Linked DNA regions of Cricetulus griseus. The protein of the gene in region 2 purifies or fractionates together with the protein of the main gene of each other region. This does not show direct contact. Links are inferred from orthologs where the notes say so. Each region holds a gene or a part of one and is shown on either strand. Other genes may lie near its edges.

Region 1 (4,136 bases), on a different chromosome or scaffold from region 2:
GGTGGCACACGCCTTTAATCCTAGCACTCGGGAAGCAGAGGCAGGAGGAGCTCTGTGGGTTTGAGACCAGCCTGGGCTACAGCCTCCAAAGCCACAGAGAAACCCTGCCTCGAAAAAACAAAAAAACAAAAAAACCAAAAAAAAAAAAAATGAGGTGCAGTTCAGCTTCTTCTCATTCTCCTCATTTGAATTTTTCTTTCTTTTTTCTTTTGACGACAGGGTCTCTGTAGCCTAGCCTGGATGCCCAACAATGAATTTCTAGTTATCGTTTATCAAACTCCCAAATGTTGGGACCTAATAGTTCTGTGTCAATATACCAGATATATTCAGTGTTGGGGAATCAAACCCAGGGTCTCCTGCATGCTAGCTAAGCACTCTTAACATCCCAGCCCTGAAATGGGTTTATCTGGGAAGGATTCATTTGCCTTTGTTCAACAGAGAAGACTGGCCTCTCTCTCTCTCTCTCAATTAGCTTGTCTCTGTGTAACCATCCCATCCTCCTCCTCTTCTGTGACAATCTACACACTAGTTTTCCCTTTATTTTCAGTTTCTGCTCCATCTTCTTTGCCCCCCACTTAAAATACCAACCTAGTTCCTTCAGCACTCATCACGCACACCATGACCTTCCAGTAACTCCTTATTTCTCGTGCTCTGAGCTTCCTATCTCGATCACCTCACTCAGCCACGCAGTCTCTCTGCTCAGGCCTTTTGGGTGCAATCTCGCTCACCAGCTTTCCAAGAGCTGTCTTCCTCCTCCCACCCCACCATACCTACTCACTTTCTGCTCATTCTTCAAAGTGCAGCCCAGAACTTGACTTTCCCAGACTGTGATAGGCGCCAAGGTAGTCTAGTGAATACTTTTAGTTTTTTATCCAACCATAACTAAATAATTAACATAGTTATTTACTCTGTGTCGTCTCCCTAGCCTTCCAGGGCAGATACGTGTCTGTATCAATTTTACAATTCCCTCAGGTTTAGAATTGCCATGCAAACAGAAAGTGCCAGGGAATCCTTGAATAAATGCATTATTAGCTAAGTCTCCCCATAGAAGCAAAATCTCATCCCCCCAGCCCAGGGGCTTGCATCTGCTAGGCAAGTGCTCTACCATCACTTTTTTTTTTTTTTTTTGGATAGGGTCTCATTGTGTAGCCCTGCTGGCCTAGAGCTCAATATACAGACCAGGCTGGTTTCAAACTCAGAGAACTTCCTAAGAGCTGGGATTTAAGGCATGTGCCACCACACCCACCAATTTTTAAAGTGTTTCTACCGGCGGCACACGCCTTTAATCCCAGTACTTGAGAGGCAGAGGCAGGTTGATCTCTGTGGGTTCAAGAGACCAGCCTGGTCAACAAGAGCAAGTTCCAGGACAGCCTCCAAAGCCACAGAAAAACCCTGTCTTGGAACTCACCCCCCCCCAAAAAAAGTTTCTAATAACTAGATGATGGGAACAGATTTAGTAGACTTCCTATGGCAGGTCTTACCCTGTCCTTGGAGCAGATGGGAGGAAGGGGGAGTGGAGGAAGTGGGAAGAAAGGACAGGGGGAGAACTGGGATTGGAATGTAAAAAATAAAAAAAGAGAAAAAATGTTTCTACTAAACCAGGCATGATGTCACATGCTTATAATTTTAGCCCAGGGGAGATGGAAAGAGGACCTGGAGTTCAAGGTCATCCTCAGCTATGTACCATTAGACACTGTTTGAAAAAACAACAAAAAGGTGCTTCAACATCAGCTCACTAGGATCCTTTAAGTCACCAACAGATTACCAAATCAAAGGATCCACCCTTTGTTCATATTATCTTCTCTTGAAAGTGACTTTCTTCCTCCTAGTCTTACAAATACTAAACCGTAGAGCCAGTAACTTCAACACTGATGTCTTATCCTTTAAAGGCTGTTTCCTTGAGATTTTTTTTTCTTACTTGCTCACTTTCTTTTCCCTGAATGATCTCACTGTGACAGACTTTATACCTATTTCTAAGGCAAATATATATATTTGTATGATGCCCAAATCTCCTACACTGCAGAATTCACCTTGATTTTTGCTTCTCAATCACAAAGTTATGGTTAATATCTAAAAATTTCTGTCATTCTCTAAGATCAGGTTTGCATTTCTGACTTGGGGACTGCTGCAGTTAACTGATCAGTTACTTTCCTTTATTAAAATCAATACTCTATTTTAACATGCAAATATCTTGTGTGGCATAAAACACTGTTTAATCTACTTCCAGCCTATTCTCAGTCCCCAGCCTGTCAACACACACAACTCATTTTATGAGAACTGGATTTTGCAAGTGTCCCAGTTTAAACAACTCAAGTGGTCGTTCCTTGCATCCACCTAGTTTCATGAGAAGCCACTCTGGGGACATAAATGACTAAAGGGAACTACACCACGTATTTGCAGCTGCTCCAGATGACAATGAGTGATAACGACCCTGGGCAACTTAGGAGACAAAAATGTAGCCCGAGGACAAGGACCCTGAAGAACTGAGCCAGGAAACACCTCCCCTGCCACCCGCATCGCTTCGAAACGCAGCCCTGCCCCGGCCGGGCAGCCCTGCCCGGGTCTAAACACTAGCGAGGCCTCTATTGCCCTGCCCCGCCCCCTCCTCCTCCTCCTCCTCCCTCGAATCAATCTTCCCACGCAACTCTTTCTCAACTGTGAGCTTCAGGCCCCCAGGGCCTCGGAGCTACAGACTCTGTCAACCCGGACCCTCCGCACCGCTCCACGACCCACGACCCGCTGCTTCGGTCGGCTCTTACTGTCCAGATAATGTTCCAAATACATCCCAGCAGCCATCTTGAAGCAAAACAAAGCAACTTCCGATCCGCCCCGGAAGTGACTGAAACTAGACAGGCGCTGGAGCCATTCTTGGACTAGAGCCTTTCCGTACTTCAAAGGACTTCCGCCCTTACTAAACTGTCGCCCCCCAGATACATCCGCCCGACATTGAACCTTTTCGCAGGGCTAGTCGCGGTCGCCCACAGCGAGGCGGCTTTAGCTTGCTTCCGCCCTTACGACGCCAGTGTCTTACCGAGACAGGTATGACGTCACACGAGGTCGCCATTTTGCATTCTCTAGCAAACTTTTTTCCCTTCCAAACAGGCGTATTTGGTAGATGGGGGAAGAAACTGTTTTGTCTAGAATTATATCCTGCAAACACCTCCTTTCAGCAAGTAGGGAATCCATTTATTTTGCTCTGCTTATTTTGAATTTGGTCATCAAAGCTGAAGCAGGAATAATCTCCGAGACAGATGCTTTCTTCGAAAGTTGTCAGGCCTTGCAAAACTTTTGCACCTCTATTCACTTTTTTTTTTTTTTTTTTTTTTTACAACGCAGGGTTTTCTTGTGTAGCCCTGGCTGTCTTCGAACTCAGAGGTCCGCCTATCTCTGCCTCGCGAGTGCTGGGATTAAAGGCGTGCGCCACCACACTTGGCTAAGGTTCCTGTTCTTTAATTGACATACGCTCCCATAGAGCACAACACTCATTGATTTTGCAGTTGTGCTCTTAACGGGAGACCCCATGTTTTTGTTTTGTATTTTATGTATGATGTTAACGTGACTCCCAAAAGACTGGGCCATCAAGGTTTATGATAGCTAGACCACCATCAGCCATCCCCCTAGTCAAAAGTATCATCCCTTGTGCAAAAGCAAGAGCCTGGCAGGTTGCTGCTACTCAAACCCCATGGTGTAATAGTGGTGGAAGAGTCTTGATAGCTTCGCTTCTAGTTCACCCATCTTTCACAGTAATCGCACCACGCAGCATACTTTTAAGATAGAATTTTAGCTCCCTGAGACCAAATATGTAAAAAAGGCCAAGTTTACTACTGAGCAGATACTAAAGCCTGGCAGTAAGATGTGGACCCCATTCTAATTACAAGAGCATGCTGTTGGGACAATTTAACCTCTGCCCAGTCCTTTCTCTATACAATGAGCAACAGTAGGCAAAACTACCACTGGGTGGGAGTGGGAATGGACATTCACCCACAAAGGTACTTATTCCAATACTTGTGATGAAAACAAGGTTGTCAGAGACTGTAGTCAGTGAGGAAAAAAAAAAACAAAAAACAAAAAACAAAAAACAAAAACAACCCACCAGGAAGCTAACCAACATTGTAATACATTAGATACTGTCCTGG
Region 2 (3,479 bases):
GAATAGAAGGGGAAGCTATTTTTCTTCATTGCATTTCTCAACTGCAGTAGGAAGGCCTGCCAGTGAGCAAGACCACCCCAGCAAACACAAGCAAAATGTGACTGTTTCCAAAAGCACAATCTGGGCTGGGTGATGATTAGAGATGGCAGGACTTGAAAGTAGTGGACATATTGGAGAAAAAGAACCACACTTGTTTCTGTCTCCTATAAACATCCATGGTACCCCCACCTATCTCAACCTTCCACTAGTTCCACGCCCAAATCAGAGGCAGAAGAATCAAAGAATGTTAAACCAGCTAGCCACTTTTGTGCACAACCAGTTCTTGGAGCCAAACAGAGGCGGATTCAATTTGTTCTGCCAATTATGAGTACAGAGTAAACACTCACTCTGTCAACAATCTGTTTTACTGGGGAAAGCAATCCACAGCTACAAACCCCACTAACACTTCACTGAGCCATTAGCCACAGGTCAATCACATCACTGCCACATATAAATTATTATCATTAATCAGATTAATCAGACATGAGCAGAGAACATGCTTTATTGAGTAGATATAGAAGAGCACATTCTACCACACGTGGGGAAGGGTTCCGCATCTGTAAAAGGCCTTTACCCCTTAAGAAAAATCCCCAGTGAAGCGGCATTTGGATAAATTTTAACAGTGACACTGAAACTGGAAGGGAGCTGCCACTGAACATGCTTAAAATCAGCTCCCTCCAACCCACAGTGAATATTAGTAGTGTACAGAGATGACAAGAGAAAGGCACAAATGACCAGAGTTAGGATTGTGGTGAGGGTGCCACGTGAAGACAGCAGTGCTGGAGGAGACCAAGTTGGGAAGGGTGACATGTCAGACATCAAAAGCTGCCCCAAGATAGCAGGTTATATAATGGGACAGGGAGAAATTAGAGGGAACATTTCTTCCTTCACTTAACACCACCAAAAATAGGAAACCAGACAACAGGATGATGGTGGCAAGTCCCACAAGGGAAATGAAGTTCTCGGAGGGACAGAAGCACTTCAGCCTGCTGTAGGGGAGGCACTACTGAAAGGGGAAGCAAACCGGTAGGGTGTGGCCACTCTGTCTTGCTGAGTCATGGGCTGAGAAACAGAAGCCATTTTCAAGCACTTTCCACTTCTCCCAGGAAGCTCTGGACAAAATCAGTGCAACTTATGTGGAAGTATAGCTGCCCTATACCAGACTGGCAAAGGCAGGTGGAAATATCTGCAGTGTGATGAATCAATTAACATGTGGCATAAAAGAAAACTGTTAAAGTATTTGGCAACTGCCAACATAAAGGGGGCAGGAAAAAAAAGAAAGAGGGGGCATTTTCTGCTGTGGAAAAAAAAATTAACCATTTCCTTCCAACAAGCTACTGCCCCAGTGCCCACAAGTGAATACAAAGGGAAACATGGAGGCACCACCTCTTCTTCTTCTTCACCCCGTCTCATCCACATGGACCAGGTGCTGTGATCCCCTGGGAAACGCTTCAGGCGGCCCAAGCTCGGGTCAGCCTGAGCCTGACTAAAGGCAAGTCATTTGACAAAAACGGAGAAAAAAAAGCAACCATGAGATGAAACCCAGGATGAATGGACCCTCCTAGTAGACATACATATACTCACAAGTGCTGCCTGTTCCCCACCCTTCATGAAGAATGTGTAAGGAATAACTGCAAAGGGCCCTTCGGTGGCAACCATGTTTGGAGGTCTGGTGACCAGGCAGGAAAAAGCACTAGCACAAAGTTCAGGACACAACAAACCTCACGGAGCTAAAGAACATGAGGAAGGAACCAGTGACTGGACAGGTACAGTACCATAACACAACTCCTTGGGTCAGTGCTATGAGGATCTGTACTTGAGCCTAATACAGATCCGTCCAGGCAACCTCACTGAGGCCGAAACAACAGTTCCTCAGAACTAGTGTCTGCAGTGTACACGAAGGTCGGAGCCAGGACAGTCCTGAGGGGGATGGCCTTCCCAAAGGATACTGTACTTGCCAATCACAAGAGCAACAGAAATGACAGACAGATCCCTAGGGTACGGATTCCTACTGCTTGGGCTCGCTGGCTCAGAAGGACAGGTCACTTTAAGTGCCCTTGGGAGGGGTCCATTTTAAGCAGCTTGGATCCATGGTTTTATTGGAGTTGGACCTTTTGGCCTCTTTGGCTATCCATTCATCTATTAGGTCCTGTGAAGAACAAAGGAGCAACTATTACATACATGAAACTAACACACTTTAAAACAGATTCCAAAATGACTAGAGACAGATTCATCCAGGTTCCAATAATATATTAAAGGTAAAACATGATATTATATTTGGATTTGCAAGCTGCTTTCCTCTCTATTTCTTCCTATTTCTTCATTCTATGAGAACTGAAAACTATTAATTCATTTTTACTTATTACATGTAAGTAACTAAAAATGCAAAAATGGCATGAGCTGAGGTAGCATTTGACAAAATAATCCCAAACCACTTATGAGACTCCTGGAACTCATGAGAACTCCCATGGATGGGCAGAAGTGTTAGGCCTCACAAAGCTGCTTAGCTTGTGTCATCCAGATCTGACAGAGCTTACCCAAAGCTCAGATAAGGACAAGGGAGGAAATAAGCTTAGCAACAAAGGCCACGAGGACCTGGCTGCCAGCTGGAACGAGGCTAGGAGCTTCCAGTCACACCCTCTAAGGGAAGTAAACAGTGGGTAGTGCAGCCACAGAGCTTTGTTAAGCTCTGAGGACACCAAGGGCAGCTGAGGGGACTCTCACCTGTCTCTTTAAAACTAGGTGCTTGCCTTTCCAATACTTGAGCATCTGAAGGGCTTGCAGAGTGCTGACAATGTCCACCGGATTCACAGCTGTTTCCTGGCTGATTTCTGTAACAGAGGCGCTACTGAGATCTCAGTTGAAACACAGAACCCCACTCCCATGTCTCCCAAGGCCCCCTTACATGTAGTTTTCCAGAGCACAAATCTGTGGCACTTAGGTTACCTGATCAAAATGTTTGACCAGCCCAAGTAACTACCCAAAACAGATTCAATGGCAAGAAGCTACTCTGGGCCACTTAGAAATCAAGGTCAATCTTGTTAAGAAATTCTTCCTGTGAAAGGGCCAGATGTCTTTCCTAAAATTCCAATGCTTCATAATACTTGAAACCATTCTTCTTGATTTTTAAAAGAAATGACATATATTCACATGTGTATGTATGTATTTTATGCATATGCGTGTGTTGCCTGGATGTATGTCTATGTACCACATGTATGCCTAGAACTGGAGTTACATACTGTTGTGGGCCACAATCTAGGTGCAATGAATTGAACCGGATTCCTCCAGAAGAGCAGCCAGTACTCTCAAATGCTGAGCCAGGTCTCCAGGTCCTCCTCTTGGTTTTTAGAAGAATTGAGTGTTAACAACTCCAGATGGCAAAAAACACTTTATGACTATTCCCAGGACCCAATGTTCCAGGATCTTCAGCCCTGCACCGA
Region 3 (4,344 bases), on a different chromosome or scaffold from region 2:
TAACTGCCTTGGTTTACTGGGCTGGTAAACTCTGAATCATTTACTTAGGGTGCTGAACACCTATACTTCCATCTTTGGACCCTAAGAGTTTATTCTCTATCCTTCCAACGGTATCACCCGTGCCCTGGGTATCAGAGCCAAGCAAGCAATTGTGAAAGTCTCTTCAACCGTGCGAGCGAGCGGAGGCAACGCTTTCAAAATATGTCATTCATCTTCATACTCGGTGGCAGCTTATCCATATACCCTGTATAAGCACCATTAAGTATCGGTGTTTAAGACCTCCGTCATGAGAGGTAAGCTTTCAAATTTATAGGCACAAGGGGGTTGGCAAAGGGACCCTTTTCTCCTACTTATTTTTCTTTTATTGGAACAAAAGCCAGTTTGGGTACACCTCCAAGTCTGAAGTTGCTATTTGTCAGGCAGGCGTCTTTTAGAAAGCCGCGTAGTGCATTCAATTAACCGACTCCTGGACGAATCAGAATCGGGGAGAAAAGTATTTCCCATGCCTAGAGTGTCACACGGAACTAGGAAGCTCGCTTAAGCAGACTGTCAAACTTTTATGTTTGCTTGAAAAAACAAAAACAAAACCAACAACAACAAGCCACACAGATGGAAGAGTCGGGTCTGTTGCAGCAGCCGTGTGAGGAACAGGAGGCTCACCTGGACACACAACAGACGCGGGTCTTCCCCGGGCTGTCCTCACTGGGGGAGGGGAGGGGTGGACACCGCTAGACCTTTGTCCCGGGGGCCTGGGGAGGGACGACTTTGTGGGATCCGCGCGGCCACCTGCGCCGGTGGAAGCCACACACCGCCGGGACCTCCTCGGTGGTCGCCTGGTGACACTCTGGGGGGGCGGGGAGGGCGCAGGGGGCTCCACCTGGGGGGGGGGCGGCGGGGCCTCCACGCTCTGACCGGGGTGGGGGAGGCCAGGGCTCCCCGAATTCAGAGCGCGAACCGCTGCGGGGCAGGCCGGGGGTGAAGCGCGGCGGCGAGCCGGACAGCCTGCGCTCGGCCCCGCTCGCCCGCCCGAGCCGGGGAAGGTGGCTCCGCGCTCCGTCTCCCCGCGCAGCCGCCAGCACCGCGCCGGGCTCGGGCGGGGGCACCGGCTCCGGTCGGGCTCCCCGCGCTTTCGCGCTCCCGCTTCGCGTGCGGCGGCTCGAGCCGGGGAGGGAGCGAGGGAAGGGGTGGAGGTGGCGGGGGGAGGCCGAGGGGCGGATCCTGCCTGGGGGCTGATCCCTCCCTCCCTCCCCTCGGCCGGGCTCCGTGGCGGCAGCGGTGGCGGCGGCGGCGGCGGCTCCATTCCCCCTCCCCCCGGGAGCGGCGGCCGGGCCGGGGGAGACGGAGCGGAGGGCCGGGGCCGGGGCCGGCGGCGGCGGCGGCGGAGGAGGCGGAGGCCGCGCTCCCTCAGCCATCGGGCCCGCGCGCGGACCTGCTCGGTGGCCCGCCCGCTCGCCCGCTCGCCCGCTCGCCCGCCCGCCCGCGCCCACGGGGCCCCAGAAACCAGGGGCCCGGCCGGCGGCTGAGGTAAAACGGGGCGGCGGCGGCGGCGGCGGGGCCGGAGCGAGCGGGGCGGCGGGGGCGAGCGCGGCGCGCAGGGGGGGCAGCCGGGGCAGCACAGGGGGGCGTCCCGGTGGGGCGCGGGGGCGACGCGCGAGCCACCCCCCCCCACACCCCGCGGAGCGAGGGCGGCGACGGAGCCGGGGAAGGCGCGCGAGGGGGAGCTGCAAAGCGAGGACCCCCTCCCGCACCCGCCATCTTGTTTCTTCCCCGGTCCTGGCAGCCGGGCGGCTAAGCCCCGCCCTCCCCGTGCTCTCCTATTGGCCGGGCCGGGCGAGAGTTCCGCCTTTCGGGGGCCGCTCTCGGCGCCCGGGTTCCCCCTTGACGGGCAGGTCGGGCGGCCAATGAGTGCTCGCATCTCTGCCCCCGCCCCCTCGTCGGCTGGCGCTCGCCTTCCCTGCGAGGGTCGGACTCGGCGTCAGCCTGTGGTGCGCTTCCCCTGAGGTGTCCGGGGAGATGTTCTCCCTCTCCCCTCCGGGGGTCGGGGCCCTGAAGACTCCCGCCGAAGGGGCGCCCCTCTGAAGGGGCGGGGAGCTTGTCCGGGGTCTCACCCGGCCTCCTGAGCCTCCCGTGTGGCGTGCAGGGCGGGTTCGGTCCAATTGTTGAAACCCCTGGTTCGGGGGGTCAGGGTGAGGTGGGCGAGTCGAGTCGGGGCTCGGGCAGCGGAGGACGTGGCTCGACGGGGTGTTGGGGGTACCAGGGACGTGTGTAGGAAAAGACTTGCGGACGTGAGGAAACTCCCGCCAAAAATAACGCGGTCTGGATGTTAGCTCCTTGTAGGCGAAACTCTTGGCTTTCCTCAGCCGCAGCCCTGCCTCGCTGTTTGCTCCTGGTGACAGCGGGAGCCCCGAGTGTGTGTGGGGGGGTCGGGACTGGAACTTGGGGGCGGGTTGAGAGACGATTTCTGAGGCTGCAGATGGGTAGAGAGGGGCACTGTAGACTCTTCAAAATTGATACTGAAGTACCTGTTCCCTCCCCGGAGGCTCCCTGCCTTTGGAGGGTTGGGGAATACGTCGTGTTTGTTCAGGGCTGGGGCTGCTTCGGAGACCTTGACCCCCCCCCCCTTCAGAGACAGGATTTCTCTGTGTAGCTTTGGAGGCTGTCCTGGAACTCACTCTGTAGACCAGGCTGGCCTCAAACTCACTGAGATCCTCCTGCCTCTGCCTCCCGAGTGCTGGGGTTGAAGGCGTGCACCACCAATGCCCTGTGCTCCCTTGACATTTGTAAATGATCTAGTGGCCCCAGGGCTTCGGGAACCTGAACAGAGTTGCTGTCATTGTTCTGTTTTCCTTTGGTTCCAAATGGTTTTGTATACCTGCCACATATTGCTCCTCAGACAGCTTAGTTTAAGTCACACCTTGGAATTTAAAGGCCTTATCACTATGGTTGTCAGCGATAATTTATTGATCGTTCTTAAGAAAACATTTGCCTAGACAGTGGTGGCAAACACTTTAATCCCAGCACTGTAGAAGCAGAGACAGGCAGATCTCTGAATTCAAGGCCAGCCCAGTCTACAGAGTGAGTTCCAACACAGCCAGAGCTACACATAGAAACCCTATCTCAAACAACAAATATGTTTTTGTTCATGCTTTTATCTTTTTTTTGAGGGGGGGTTTCGATACAGGGTTTCTCTGAAGGTTTGGAGACTGTCCTGGAACACTCTTTGAAGACCAGGCTGGCCTCGAACTCACAGAGATCCACCCACCTCTGCCTCCCGAGTGCTGGGTTTAAAGGCATGCGCCACCAACGCTTGGCTGCTTTTATCTATTTTTATTTATTTATTTTTTGTTTTCATTTTTATGTGTATGCATATTTTGGCTGATATATTTCTGGTTTCCCTGGGAGTCCAGATACCAATACCCTGGAACTGGAGTTAAAGAGTTGTGATCCACAATGTGTGTGCTAGAAATCAAACCTAGGTCCTCTTAACTGCTGAGCTCTCTTCCCAGCCCTTATATATTTACTTTTTAAGGGAGAGTCTCACTATGTGCTGTGGCTGGTCTGAAAAACTGTGTAGATGTGGCTGACCTCAAAGTTCACAGATACTGGCCTGCTTCTCCCTCCCAAGTGCTGGGATTAAAAGAATACCAATGTACCCAGCACTGCCCGTGATTTATTGATGAAGTGTGGAGACACGGGGACATTAAAAACTTTGTCCAGGTTACAGGGGACTAAGATTAAAACCCAGATTGGTGCAGAACGTCTTTGTAGAGATCCCAGGGTCTCACTGGTGTTCATAACCTCCCAGCTCGAACACAGGTGATCAGGAGTCAAGTCAGCTTTGGCTGAGTCACAGTTTTCTGAGCTTCTGTTTCTTCATGCCTGACATGGAAATGATAATGTCTGCACAACCTCCTGAGGTAGCCATGAGAAATGGTAAAAAGAAAAGGCCATTGTAGTGTGTGAAAGTATGCTGAACTGTCATTGTTGTATCTCAAAAGTCTTCCTGTTGTTCCTACCAATGATGGCCTTGGTAACTGCCTGTAACTACTCCTTAGGGGCTTGGCATAGTTCCCTACATCCAGAGAATGCTGTGGGAAGCCTAAGGCTTTCTCTGCTACCCAAGGGTGGATCGGATGTAAATATCAAGGGATAGAGATTTCTGAGGTAATAGTACATTGAGAATTCATCTCAGATACTACCCCAATCAGCTTGTCCTTGAGTCCAATGAAAATCTCCAAAGGCTTCTTAAAATTTAAAAGATTTCTTAGAACCATTCCCAGATTTTGCAAGGTTTGTGGTTGGAAATGCCCTAAGCATTAGGTGCTGCCTTCTTCAGGAAGTACC

The links.
Region 1: the proteins of Kat7 (region 2) and Ing4 purify together in Homo sapiens (affinity purification with western blotting; 6 studies listed by BioGRID and IntAct, with this or other methods). This does not show direct contact. The link is inferred for Cricetulus griseus from reciprocal best matches to the Homo sapiens genes KAT7 and ING4.
Region 3: the proteins of Kat7 (region 2) and Brpf3 purify together in Homo sapiens (affinity purification with mass spectrometry; 3 studies listed by BioGRID and IntAct, counting the BioPlex papers as one, with this or other methods). This does not show direct contact. The link is inferred for Cricetulus griseus from reciprocal best matches to the Homo sapiens genes KAT7 and BRPF3.

What each region holds. Positions count from the first base shown.
Region 1 is NC_048601.1:21,385,956-21,390,091, forward strand, and holds the start of Ing4 (inhibitor of growth protein 4), read right to left. Parts: upstream 2,864-4,136; 5' UTR 2,797-2,863; coding exon 2,760-2,796; exon of another isoform or gene 2,646-2,759; intron 1-2,645.
Region 2 is NC_048600.1:108,451,302-108,454,780, forward strand, and holds the end of Kat7 (histone acetyltransferase KAT7), read right to left. Parts: intron 2,871-3,479; coding exon 2,764-2,870; intron 2,189-2,763; coding exon 2,087-2,188; 3' UTR 524-2,086; downstream 1-523. UniProt on the Homo sapiens protein: Catalytic subunit of histone acetyltransferase HBO1 complexes, which specifically mediate acetylation of histone H3 at 'Lys-14' (H3K14ac), thereby regulating various processes, such as gene transcription, protein ubiquitination, immune regulation, stem cell pluripotent and self-renewal maintenance and embryonic development.
Region 3 is NW_023276806.1:233,898,420-233,902,763, forward strand, and holds the start of Brpf3 (bromodomain and PHD finger-containing protein 3), read left to right. Parts: upstream 1-1,412; 5' UTR 1,413-1,524; intron 1,525-1,965; exon of another isoform or gene 1,966-1,985; intron 1,986-2,032; exon of another isoform or gene 2,033-2,186; intron 2,187-4,344. Other genes in the region: basic proline-rich protein-like, read right to left, coding at 729-1,412. UniProt on the Homo sapiens protein: Scaffold subunit of various histone acetyltransferase (HAT) complexes, such as the MOZ/MORF and HBO1 complexes, which have a histone H3 acetyltransferase activity.